Linked DNA regions of Neurospora crassa OR74A. The protein of the gene in region 3 interacts with the protein of the main gene of each other region in a biochemical or structural test. Links are inferred from orthologs where the notes say so. Each region holds a gene or a part of one and is shown on either strand. Other genes may lie near its edges.

What was found.
Region 1: the proteins of NCU04252 (region 3) and NCU03889 form a complex in vitro, tested with the Saccharomyces cerevisiae proteins (2 studies listed by BioGRID). The link is inferred for Neurospora crassa OR74A from reciprocal best matches to the Saccharomyces cerevisiae genes SLY1 and SFT1.
Region 2: the proteins of NCU04252 (region 3) and NCU01741 form a complex in vitro, tested with the Saccharomyces cerevisiae proteins (2 studies listed by BioGRID). The link is inferred for Neurospora crassa OR74A from reciprocal best matches to the Saccharomyces cerevisiae genes SLY1 and BET1.

Annotation. Positions count from the first base shown.
Region 1 is NC_026506.1:2,053,410-2,057,399, reverse strand, and holds NCU03889 (SNARE), read right to left. Parts: upstream 2,801-3,990; 5' UTR 2,193-2,800; coding exon 2,058-2,192; intron 1,992-2,057; coding exon 1,830-1,991; 3' UTR 690-1,829; downstream 1-689. Other genes in the region: NCU03890 (stromal membrane-associated protein), read left to right, coding at 1-689; NCU03888 (DUF500 and SH3 domain-containing protein), read left to right, coding at 3,507-3,543, 3,642-3,745, 3,804-3,990. UniProt on the Saccharomyces cerevisiae protein: Vesicle SNARE required for retrograde transport within the Golgi complex.
Region 2 is NC_026502.1:2,582,537-2,586,431, reverse strand, and holds NCU01741 (SNARE complex subunit), read left to right. Parts: upstream 1-1,361; 5' UTR 1,362-1,576; coding exon 1,577-1,590; intron 1,591-2,198; coding exon 2,199-2,523; intron 2,524-2,621; coding exon 2,622-2,828; 3' UTR 2,829-3,326; downstream 3,327-3,895. Other genes in the region: NCU01740 (histone H2A.Z-specific chaperone chz-1), read left to right, coding at 1-69; NCU01742 (hypothetical protein), read right to left, coding at 3,670-3,895. UniProt on the Saccharomyces cerevisiae protein: SNARE required for targeting and fusion of ER-derived transport vesicles with the Golgi complex.
Region 3 is NC_026505.1:5,366,361-5,370,617, forward strand, and holds the start of NCU04252 (SNARE docking complex subunit), read right to left. Parts: upstream 2,881-4,257; 5' UTR 2,489-2,880; coding exon 2,446-2,488; intron 2,369-2,445; coding exon 1,395-2,368; intron 1,337-1,394; coding exon 879-1,336; intron 813-878; coding exon 158-812; 3' UTR 1-157. UniProt on the Saccharomyces cerevisiae protein: Able to suppress the functional loss of YPT1. SLY1 is essential for cell viability. May interact indirectly, or directly with YPT1.

The DNA.
Region 1 (3,990 bases), on a different chromosome or scaffold from region 3:
TTTCCGGCCTAAGCGGTGGCAGCTTCTTCGATTCCAAGCCCGCCACATCCTCCCACCAATCCAAGCAGTCCATCAGCAGCCCACTGGGCTTCTCATCAACCCCTCCTCCTGCGCCAGCCTCTAAGCCCGCGCCCGCTTCCTCCGCCCTCGGTGACCTGTTTGACTTTTCCACAACAGCTACTGCTACTACCGCTCCTCCCTCGGCCGCCGCCCCGAAGCCTTCATCTGACTTCAGCTCCGCATTCAACCTTTCCAAGCCCGCCGCAACCACGCCGGCCCCTGCAGCCGTTACTTCAACAACACCAAACCCTCTTGCCTCTATTGCGACGTCTAACGCCTGGTCAGATGCAGGTGTATGGGGTTCCAACGAGTGGGCCTCCGCCCCTGAGCCCCCCAAGCCTGCGGCTCCTGAACCGCCCAAGCCAGCACCTGTTACCTCTATCCCTCTTTCTAACGATTTTGGATGGGGCAACAGCACCACCACCTCCTCCACTACCGGCGGCTCCTTCGCAAGCCAACCTATTGTCCCCAGCGCTTCGGGCGGCTTTGCCCCAGCACCAAAGGTGGCGGCCGATGAGGAGTTTGGGGGCTGGATGAGCAGCACTACCACACCAGCTGCTCCGAGCGGATCCAAGCCGGCTACCGGTTTTGGTGGCAGTGACGACCTGTTCTCAAACGTCTGGCAATAAGAAACCTTAGAACGACAATTCAGGGATCTCCGACATGGGGTTCAGAGGTAACCGAGTGCAGTCTACTGGGATTTTTGCTGTTGTCCTCGCGCCTGATGCCGACCATGTAAATATATAATCAACCGGCAGGTGATGTGAGAAATAGCTCGGACAAACTTATACCAAACCAAACCAAACCCATCAAGCGTCCGAACTTGTTTTTCCTTCTATACCACCTGACTGGAAAGGGGATGCTATCCACGAACACCATGTCGTACTTATGCTGTGGGAGTCTGATCTAGTTAAGAGTTAGGCAAATGATGGTTTATGCGTGACAAATAGGGGAATGATGAACAACGCAGTCATTCTTACATCAGCAAGTCATGTTTTGTTTTGGCATATTTACATTATAGACAACAAGTTATTGTTCGTTGGTAGGGCAAAAGTAATGCACTTTTATATAGGATCCTCCTATCTTTTGTAAGGTGTGTGTTGCCCTCATTAATGTCCTTCTGATGTCCTTGAAGTTTCAAAATGAAAAATCAAGGATGAGACTGAGAAATGTCGATGTCTGGCTTATACGACACGACGTATCAATGACAACCTAAGGTACGCAGAAACCAAATCCCAAATAAACAAACAAAACCGAACCGTCAACGCCATTGCTATGCCTTTGCATCTACCCGTCTGTTGTCGAGACAAAACATTAAGCCCAGTCTGTAAACCAAAATCCACACTTCGTTCAGAATCCACCAAAACACAGACCTACGGTCCTGCGTGACCTGCTACCCTCCCACCCATTGCCCCACCCTACATTGCACCTCCTCTGCGCAATACTAGTAGCGGCTTTTGTGGGAGCAAGCGGACTGCACATCGCCTGTACCAGCACTCCAACATCCAACAAGCTATCCGGACAAGCTCCATCCTGTCTTGATGTCCGGCTTCGCACGCATCCGTCTTATCATTCCTGATATTTGTCGGGAATCGAATCGTGCCGCCCTCTACATCCTTCGCCCTGTGTTGTTGTAGTGAACCCGATGAAGAGAACCTCCCTTCCTTTTGCTTCCTGGCATGTATTCGCATGTCGAAGTTCAATAGACCCAATAGACCCAATATTCAAACGACTTTAGCCCTCTCACACGTCGTGACTTTTTGAATCATTTAACCAACAAAAAGTCGATAAAGATAGTAAATGACCAGGAAGCTCCCAATAAGAATACCCGAGAGCTTGAGAATGGCGACCTTGTTCCCCGATGCGGCCATGCGGCCTAGACGGGTGGCGGAACCTTTGAGTTGAGAGCCCATGGAGGAGAAGGTATCGGTCTGTTCGTTGTTGGTGGGACTTGTCAGTTTGTTATTTTGTGCAGAGTAAAATCAAAGGAACCGTACCGTTTGGTCGATAACTTCGTGGTTGCGCGCCTGGTCGTAAATGTCAATCGTTACACCTCGAAGGGCAGAAACCTTGGAGGCTAGCTCGTCGAGGCGCGCATTATTTTGGCGCTCGCGCTCGTAGTTTGCGGACATCTTGATAATGGTAATGGGGGGGGGTTGTGTTGTGGTCGTAGTTGTATGTTGCGACTCGCTCAGCGGCCGTGTGGGAGGTTCACTCGTCAGTTTTGAGTATCGGGTTAATTGGAACTCGCTGATATGGCCCGAGTTTCGTATTATCGAAGATGTTATTACGTGTTATTTTGTCGCGCGCGCGGGGGTCGGCTTCGGTGTCTTGCAGCGTCCGTTGTTCGGAGTGAAGCCGTGGTGTTCCTAGGTATTGCTGAGTGCTATGGGGATGTCAAAAGGGGGTAGGTTGTAGCAGGTTCCAGATGCACTCAGTTCAGGGTCACAATGAAAGGACACCGGGATCATGCATCCATCATGATGGGGGCGGCCGGCTCACTGCAGCTTGTTGATGCATACACCAGCCACAGCTACGGCCTCCTAGTCGCGAATGATGTCAGTTTCGGCCATTTACGTGTGGCTGCGCGTAAAGCACATGCATGGTCAATGCGGGGTCTTTTTCGGGGGGAGCGGAGCCTGCTGGAGCCATTTGATTGTGCTCGTGGTCGGGCCACTGCAACTTTGGGTCCCGTCAGTCAGTCACCTACGTAACGACGAACGCCCGCTCTGCTCTGCCCGCTGGACAAGGCCCGGGTATTCAAAGTGGAAGGTGCAGGGCGCAGGGACGGAGTAAAGTAGAGAAGTAGAGGTACAGTAGTGTACGCTACTGCACAGCCCACGGCGGCAGTGCTTGCCCAAGCCCATCCCAGCGTCTCCAGTGATTGAGGGTCCAGTGCTACAGTTCTCACATGACGCGCGGCACGAGCTCCAGCTTCCATTTCCAAGTACTTCCATTTCAAATGTTGACTGTGATGAATTCCATGCCACTGTTTAGCCTCGCTCATCAGTTACTCCGATCTGTGAAGAAGAGGGAAAAAAACAAACTCTCAAACGGACAGTTACACCAACAAAAGAGCACGCACAAAGGCTTATCCTCCGGGAACAAGATCGTTCATCACGAACAACAAGTGACCCCAAGGATCTCCCCAGCATCTTGACAAACCGCCGTTGTGGGGACGCCCAGGTACCAACCTCGCATTTACTATGTACACAAGAAATTGACCGGGCTGATCTGCTTACTTGCTTGCCTGCCAGTGTGCCTGCAGGCATTGATCGGCCAGTGTCCCGAGAAATGACTGACGAACTCCATCTCTTTCTTTCTTTCTAATATTTCGCTGTCGCTGTCGCATTTCCACGGCATTCTCACCGCAGCCGCTCTACACGCCCTCGCCCTTCAAGACCCGCGCCAGTCCGCTATAGGGAGTTCCGCTTCGACACTTCAAGATGGGTATCAACAACCCTCTTCCGTCGTCACTTTCGTGTGAGTTTGTGTCCCCGGGGTTCCCGTGCTGTGCGAGCCCGACCCCGCAACTCCCCTTCGCTTCGCCGAATCCGACATCCTAACACGTCTGTAACCAGCGGAATGTAAGAAGTGCGGTAAAATCCTCGCCTCCTTCATCGAGCCCAAACAAGCCTTTGGTCCCGACAAGGTGATACCGCCATCAGTGCTCGCGAATGCCAAGGTACGAAACAGCATCCGCAACCTCAACGAAAGCGACCAGGTGGTTAACGTTCTCCTAGGGTCTTGCTATACTCACCGTCATCAAAGCTGGTTTCCTCGGATCTGCCCGTTTCGGTAGCGGCCTGGTAGTCGCCCGCCTCCCCGACGGCAGCTGGTCTGCCCCCACCGCCATTGCTACGGGTGGTGCCGGCTTCGGCGGTCAGATCGGTTTCGAGCTTACAGATTTCGTTTTCATTCTCAACGACG
Region 2 (3,895 bases), on a different chromosome or scaffold from region 3:
CCTGCCGAGGAGGACGATGAGGAGGACGACGAGGAGTTTGTGCCCGAGGATGAGGAAATGGAGGAGTAGTCCGAGGCTATCTTCTGATTTCCTTTGATGGTTCACAACAACAACAACAACAACAACAATGACAACAGATTCTTGTTTTCTTTCTTCCTGGGTTTCCCCGTTGGCTCTGCGCTTTGCTCGCTGCCAGTGGTTGAGTTTTATGATGATCACGAGCTTGGAGATGTAAGCCGTCTTTTGGCTGATTGCTAAGCCTGATTGGCTGGACCTATTTATGTACGTGAATGTCAGCTATAAGGCCTGGGGTTGTTTGGTTCAATGCGTTGGGAGTTCCCACAATCAGAATTTGGCAATACATGATAAGGGTGTAAGTGATCATTCGTTTATCAGTTCAGGTAGACCGATCTCTTCTGTCAGCCAATTTCAAAGTATCAACATACTACGTACGTTGGTGTATCAGAATACGCTTGATCGCTTGTCTTCACTAACCTAACCCCCATAAGTGGAGACATTGGATGATTCCCCTGTCAGCTCAAGGGCAGTTGGCCTGTTGAGATGGGGTGCCACTAAACTAACCGCGAGGCAGCCTGAAGGGGGTGATATGTCTACGGCTGACCTATGAAAAGGTAATATTCCGGCGAATTCTAGAGTTGCTATGACCATCGAGATTTGATATCGGTCCTGTTCCTGGAGTACACAGCAGACGTCAGGAACCGGAGCATCGCACCAGCCACCAACAAGGTTCGCGATCTTGGCCTGATCCACCGGGTATTCTACGCAGTACCATACACCAGCTTCTTTGACGCCAACATCTGTGAGAATGCATGCCTTCGACTTGGAAAGCTTCAACGATTCTGAAAGTCTCGGATTTGGGCTTAGATTCGCTTCAATAAGTCCATACTTGAGTCTATGCGCCTTGCGCAATCTAACGTGGATCAACTTATTGCTGACGCGACAAGCTGAGAGAGAAAAAAAAAAAAAAAAAAAAAAAAAAAAAGGTAGAGGAAGAATGGAGACGCTGAACGCCCAATTAGCCAATATCAGTGGAAGCAACACGGGCACCTCTCGGAGGGACTTTGAACAACGCCGAACATGAACCCTCCGACATAAAGAAAAATTGAATGATTAAAACCAGATACATTGGGGAAAATAGTGTCAAGTTCTCTCGGAGAGGAAGACGTGACACCAACCCAGATGTTCAATCAACGTGTCCTTGTCAGCATCATGCGGCACGAACAACATTGTACCTTTTAGCCATTACATATGTATCACCCAGACACGGACTGACGTTGTAGTTTATGTACATGGACGGCGCACCAAGGTAACATCTGGCCAGAACAGGCCTAACAACCACCCAAACTAAAAAGGGGGATCTGCCGGCGCTGGCGGCCAAGGGTCCACGGGCATTCAACTTTATTTTCTTTCTTCACCACCCGCACACCCCCCGCCCGACGCTACCTCTATGGAACCTGCCAATTCATCATCTCTAATACCTACCCACACTCTTACAAGTTAGCTAGCATTTACCTGTCAGGATTCTCGAAGACGGATCGACCTAAATTTGCTCTCCATGATGGCTTCCAGGTGAGTGCGATTCTCTTGTACGTTCGTCTTAGCATTGCACCACACCACACGCAAATGCCACCTTTCACATTTCGAAATGCGACTTGGCCTGTCAACTCGACCAAACCCACGACCGACACGCGATGAAGCGAGCGGCCGACCGAGCTGCCCGGCTCCGGTGAACGGGTGTACGATATTGCCACCGGAAGATATCTGCGGACCAAAGGCAGCAGCTATCGATGTTATGGTGGTTGGTTTGACAAGTCACGATTTCTCGACCTGCCCCCCCTGGTCATGGCGCGACGGCCTCAACTACGTCATCGCTCTGGTTTCAGAGTCTCGCCAACACGCCTCCAACCATGCCATGGTAGGATACGATACGAGTTCACTACCGTGATGTGATGCAGTCGCAACAGCGGCGCAACCACAGCAGCACTGGCGACGAGAGCGAGAATGACAGCGAAACCGAAAGCGTCAACTCGATCCATCCACCATGCCCCCGGGTCGTCCTCGATTCGACTTTGACCACCCACCACAACCCCCATCCCACCAACCCCTTAATCCTTCGAACAAGACAAGACAACACCCTTCTAACAATTAGTCCGCTTTTCTTTTTCTCCGGAGTACAGATTTGCACATTCCTCTCTACACCAGCGCGACCCGCGCAGCGACCTTTTCAAGGGCTACTCTGGCTCCAGCGCAGCCGAGCGCCGCTCGGCCAACGCCAGCCCAGCAAGGTATGGCGGTGGCGGCGGATACGGGTACGGGGGCGGCTATGGTGGCGGTGGGAGTTATAACGGCAGCTCGTCAACACTGGGGATGGAACGGGGCGGGTTTAGGCCTGCTACTCCAAATTCAAGGGGCCAGTACAGCGACGCAGTCCTCAACGAACTCGAGAGCCAGAATGATGAGCAGGTGGAAGGGATAATGGGTAAAGTCAAGATTTTGAAGGATGTATGTTTTTGTTCTCTCTTTCTGCTCTCCTCCCTCTCTCCCACTTCCTTCTCTCGCAAGCCACCCATCAACTAACCCCATCCCTCCCCCACAAACAGATGACTATAGCCATCGGCGATGAAATTCGAGACTCCTCCGCCCTCGCCGAGAAGATGAACGAATCCTTCGACCAAACCCGCCTCCGACTCCGTGGTACCATGAACCGAATGCTCATCATGGCACAGAAGACCAATGTCGGGTGGAGGGTGTGGCTTGCCTTTTTCGCTGCCGTGGTGTTCCTCTTTTTTTACGTGAGGTATCTCTAGTATCCTTCCAAGGTCAAGGTTTTTCTGAACTTGGAAGAGAGAAAAAGAAAGAAAAGAAAAAGACAAAGATGGAGGGATATGTTGGTCGGCGGAGTGGTCCTCCTGCTGCTGCTGCTGCTGCTGCTGCTGCTGCGCGGGGCAAAGCGATATGTTCAAGAATGATGGAAACGAGAAAAGAGACCATATATATGCAAAGGAAAGATGGGATAGTATATATATGGCTTTAACGATGGGTAATACCAATGGATGATGAGGAAAACGGAAGGTTCTAGGTCAAAGTGGCTGACTACCTTGTGGGATAGAAAAGGCATGGATATGGGTTGCCCTTGGTAGATTGCGGGCGGACTTGGTTTTTGCATGCTGGCGCCGGGGAGTTCGCGTTTGTTAAGTCGTTCGGGTAGTATCAGAAGTCGGTTTTTTTTGGTTTTTTTGTGGTACCTAATTATTTTAATCATTCTTAATCCGTTCTCCAACCAATGAGGTTCAATTATCTGGTTTAATCCACTGATCAATCATGAAGCTATATATGGGCTCCCACAAACGTGAAGTGGATAATCATTGAGCGTATAACAGACAGTTAATCAGAACTGCGTGTAGACTACCACTGCATAGACCAGACCATTGCTGTAACGAAGATCAAAGTTGTCTTTTGACGGACATTATCTATTCAATCCTGCTTCCCAAGCCACCAAGTAGCTACCCATACTGCCATGATCCCAAGACTCCATGCGCCAGACTCAAACGACCTGTTATTGAATGATGCTTGCTGACCGTTCCTACCACAACTCCTCAGTTTTAATCCTCCCTTGTTTCTCTTTCCGAACCACCGCGGACCTTCATTCTAGTGCAACCTCCTCACCCTTGGACTGCTTCTCATCATGGGACTACTCTCATCAACAGACAACAGCCCACTGATATCCAGACTGCTCCTTGGCGCTCCAATTGTGCTCCGCCTGGCATTTCCCGCAAGACTAGTCCTCAACAGCCGCTGCTGCTGCTGCTGCTGCTGTCTTGGCAGTGATACGCGGCGATGCTGGCCCTGCGCTGATCCCGCTGCCGAACCAGGT
Region 3 (4,257 bases):
GACATTGTCCAAATCGCAAGACAACACCAACATAAACATCGTGATGCAACCATGAATGCTTGATAGCGCTTTTGACCAAGTAAAGTAATTATAATCTGATATATAGCAGCTCCTCACTTCCACCCCTCACTCTTCCCCTTCATCTTTGGCCATCAATCTACGAAACCTCCTTACCCAACCTCTCCAACTCCTCCTTGATAAAGCTGCCAGCATTAAGCAACTCCGTACCACCATAAATCACCCTCCTCTTCGCACGATCTCCCGTCGTCGTTCTCGCCGCCCACTCCTGCAAATTGCTGTATTCGGCCGTGCTCGCACCGCCAACCATGAACACAATCGCCTCCGAGAACCCCTGTCTGCGTTGCCCGAAACTGGCCGTTTGGCCCGGGCCACTTGATCCTGGCAAGCCACCGGGCCCGCCCAGGGATGACCCGCTCCCTTGGGCCCGCATGGCCGACGGCTGGGGCATGGTGCCGCGCGCGTTGGCGCTGCGCGGGTCGAAGTAGAGGTAGTGTTCCGTCTTGGCGATGGCCGAGGAGCTGGCGGCCGATGGGTCCATGAGGGACTCGGTGATCTTGGTTACCGTGAGGTCGCGGTCTTCGGGGAGGAAGTTCTTGATGCCACCCAAGAGAGAGGCCACGTTATTGGAGAGAGCGCCCGTGGGCACGCCCGTCTCCTTGAGGCGGTCGGTGAGACGGCTGGAGATGGCGGAGAAGCGGTTGAAAAGGTCCGAGGACCCGGATTGTTGCTGGTTGGAGGATGAAGGATTATTTACCGTGGTGAGTTGTGTCATTTTGGTCGTGGCGCGGACTCTGTGTGGTATTGTTAGTCAGAAATGGCTGAAAAAGCCCAAGAAAAAAAAGGGGGGTAGCACGTACTGCTTAATGTAAGAGAGGCACGTTGTGTCGCAGCCCTTGGCCGCGAGTGCCTCCTCAAATTGCGTCCATTCCTGACGAGACACATCCTGTTCCGTGCTGAGGTACCAGATCACAAAGAGACGCAGGTAATCCTCAGGCTTGCCCTTGTCCGCCGTCTTGATCTGATCCAGCACTTGCGCCTTGGTTTGCTTGAACACGTTCTCCTCCAGTTGGAAGTAGTTATCCAACTGTCGGCTTTGAATCTCGCCAAGGATAGCAGCAAGGATGTTCATGTGCATATCCAAAGTGGCTTTTCTTGCGCGCAGTTCGGGCAAGAGTGTAACAGCTGCTTTTAGATGCTGAGCACTTGCACTCGAGTCTTGTTCGAAATGGTCCAAATCCCTAACGCCAGTCTTCTTGGTGAGAGCATCCGCCTCCTCCTTGTATTTCGTGAGTTCAATGTCGATGTCCTCGGCAACCTAAGCATCCTGGTTAGTAGACCATCCTCAGGATGTCCCGTCTGCACTTCCAGCTTACCTGAGGGAACGGCAGGCATGAGTTCTTGGCCCAGAAGAAATCATCGGCAGCCAAATCATACGTCTTCTTGTTGGTGCCCTTGGCCGGGTTATTGGAGTCCACGGGGCTCTCGATTGTGATCCGGTTCGATTCCGACAAACCAAAGACGTCGGCGCATAAACTCTGGTAGGTCCACGAGTGGGACAGCATGGGAATTAGGTCAATATTACGGTCCATGATAACGAGCAGGGGCTTTGGCGTTCCAGTGCTGGAAGCGGCTGCCCTGTGTGCCGAAAAGAGGTTGTCCTTGGAGTTGAGAATATGATCGCGAAGTTTTCGGTCCAATTTCGTTGCAACCATCTCAGCAGCAGCACCCCTGGGGCAGCGAATAATGGGAATGACGCCTAGTGTCACCACCACGCTAAACAGGCCGCTGACGATCCTGTCGATAACTCTGTCCAACTCCTCATCTTGTGTCTTTGCGCTATTCAACGCCCAGTATGTATGCTCCTTCTGCATGCCCAGACTGAACAAATCCGGCTCGGGAACGATAAAGTTGAGGTACTGGTCGAATATCTGGGCAATCTTCTCCGATGTGCCGGCGACAGCGGTTTGCGCCGCAAAGTCCTCCAACAGTGGCCGTGGTACCGAGGAGAGGAAGTTGATGCTGGCAGAGTTATAGAGGTTCTTCTGAAGATCATTGGTGATTTGCTGGAGGTTCTTGGCGTTCGGTTCGATAAGGTAGATGGCATCGACATCAGGAATCGGTTGCCTGTTGGCCGCGATGGAAACGTGTAGCGTGACGCCCATGGATCGCAGATCCGAAACCTGGAGTACTGGGCTGATGACATTGCGACCAAGCTCGTCAAAGACCAAGATCTTCCACGTGGGAATGTCCTTTAGCAAGGGGGCGGAAGCGGATTGGAAGCCATTCGAGTCGTCGCCGTCGGTCGGTTCGAGGGGTTGGTTGAGGTTCAGGAGCTTCTTGATAGACACTAGAGAGCATGTGTCAGTCCACCGCAAGACTGTCTGGCATTGTGACCCTTGGGGATAGGAAGGCAGTGGGACATACAGATCTGCTTGTCGCGCAGAGAGTTCCCTGGTGTTGGCGCCATGTCTGTGTATTAAAGTGATTGCTATGCTGGTCGGCAGGAAGTTCGTGGAGGAGGACTCGGGGCCGAGGTGCTGTAGAATACTGTAGGCTGTTGAGGCAAGTGGAAGGGAAGGTAGTAGCTCCCGTCTCGCTGTCACAGTGGTGGGGCGGCTTGTGATCGCGTCCCTTGAACCGAATTATCGCTAGGCTGGCCTCGAGTCGTTGGCCTTTTCGCAAACTTTGAAAGAGAGCCGCAACTTTTTAAAGACGAAAGAGCAAACGTGTTAAGATGTTACAGTACTGAGTCCAGAAGATCCTTACGTGTTCAATAGTACCTAGGTATACAGAAAGCTGACGTGAGGAAACAGAATATCTCCGTTGAAGCTACCTTGGGTACCTACTTCTGGAGGTATGTTGTCTTCTCTGGTCCGCAAGGTACCTGACATCTCTCCCTCGGCTTGGACCAGTGGCCTTTGTCTCCCAGTGGACTGTTTACCCCTTCCCTTCTATATCCGCTAACCTCCACTTACAGGAGGTGCCGCCCTGAGCTGAGAGCTTTCCCCCACAGTAGAGGTATGACGAGGATTCCGTTATCGTCCTCCAATGTTCGATTGACACCGCAACCAGCAAGTTGTGACATCTTCCTGTCTCTGTGGCGTTTACCTTTGACTGTTCCAGGAATGGATGATTGAGCCCGTGCGTGTCATCGCTGACAATTTACCATGTCGTCCGTCTTATTTGCTCTCGATTTTCCTATATCCGTAGAAGTGTAGAGGTATGATGGACAACTTCAAGGTCCAGAGAAATACCTTCCCTAGAGGTAGGTTGGTACGTACCTCTAGGTATTTTCAGTATGTCTGCTCCTGCCATAACCTGTCTGCCTGTCTAGAGGTAGGTAGAAGTAGCGATTAAATGGTAAGGTACAAACACTGCTGCAATTTCCCACTGATTCCTGCCCCCAGCTGGCGCGGACCCACCCAAAACCCAACAAACGGCCGGTTCCTCTTTGGTTCCAGGTATCGTGCCAGCGTGCTACATACAGAAATCCAACTTCCCAGGGGCACTTCCACCTTCACTTGCCACGCGCACTGACCACAGAAGCTCTTGCTACACGTGTGCTGACTTCCACTTCGTTGCGTGCCTGGGCCATTTTTGGAGAAAGGCCCGTGATCCGCCAGTGCCAACGAGCGTCGGCGGCCCGTGAGCGCTAGCGTGCCAGCCAGTCAATGCACTCCCGTCACTGGCAAACTCGTTGAGAAAGCGCCTGCCCACTGCACTCATGCACCCGCTTGCCCAGTCGCAAAGCGTCAGTCCCTTTTTATGAACGGCGGAACGCACCTGATTTGCGCGACCGCTGCTCACGTTCAACTTTTTTCCTTTCAACTCCCGTCGTCACCCTGACCTGACATCAGCAGCATCTCTCCTTTCTTCGACGACCAACTTGTCGCCCTTGGTCGCCTTGTCGCATCGCCCATCGTCGTACTTGATAGTCGCGTCCTTTTCTTCGTACATCTTTTCCCTGTTCTGGCAAAGCTGTAGAGGCGATTTAAACGCGCAGGTTTTCTTGACGTCTCGGGCGTTTTTCTGCTTGCGCGACCGTCATTCGGAAGTCGTCTCTTTCCCTGGCAGCTGCAGTCGTCCGATCGACCTGCGGCCCTGGCTTTTGAAGATTAATTTCGTTACCTGCCTGCTCAGCTGAGTTCAAGGTCGGGACCTCTCCATTCTTTAACCCGGGATAGAGAGGAAATGCTGTAGCGAACTGCGATAATCTCATCGCTGTTGTCTTCCGCG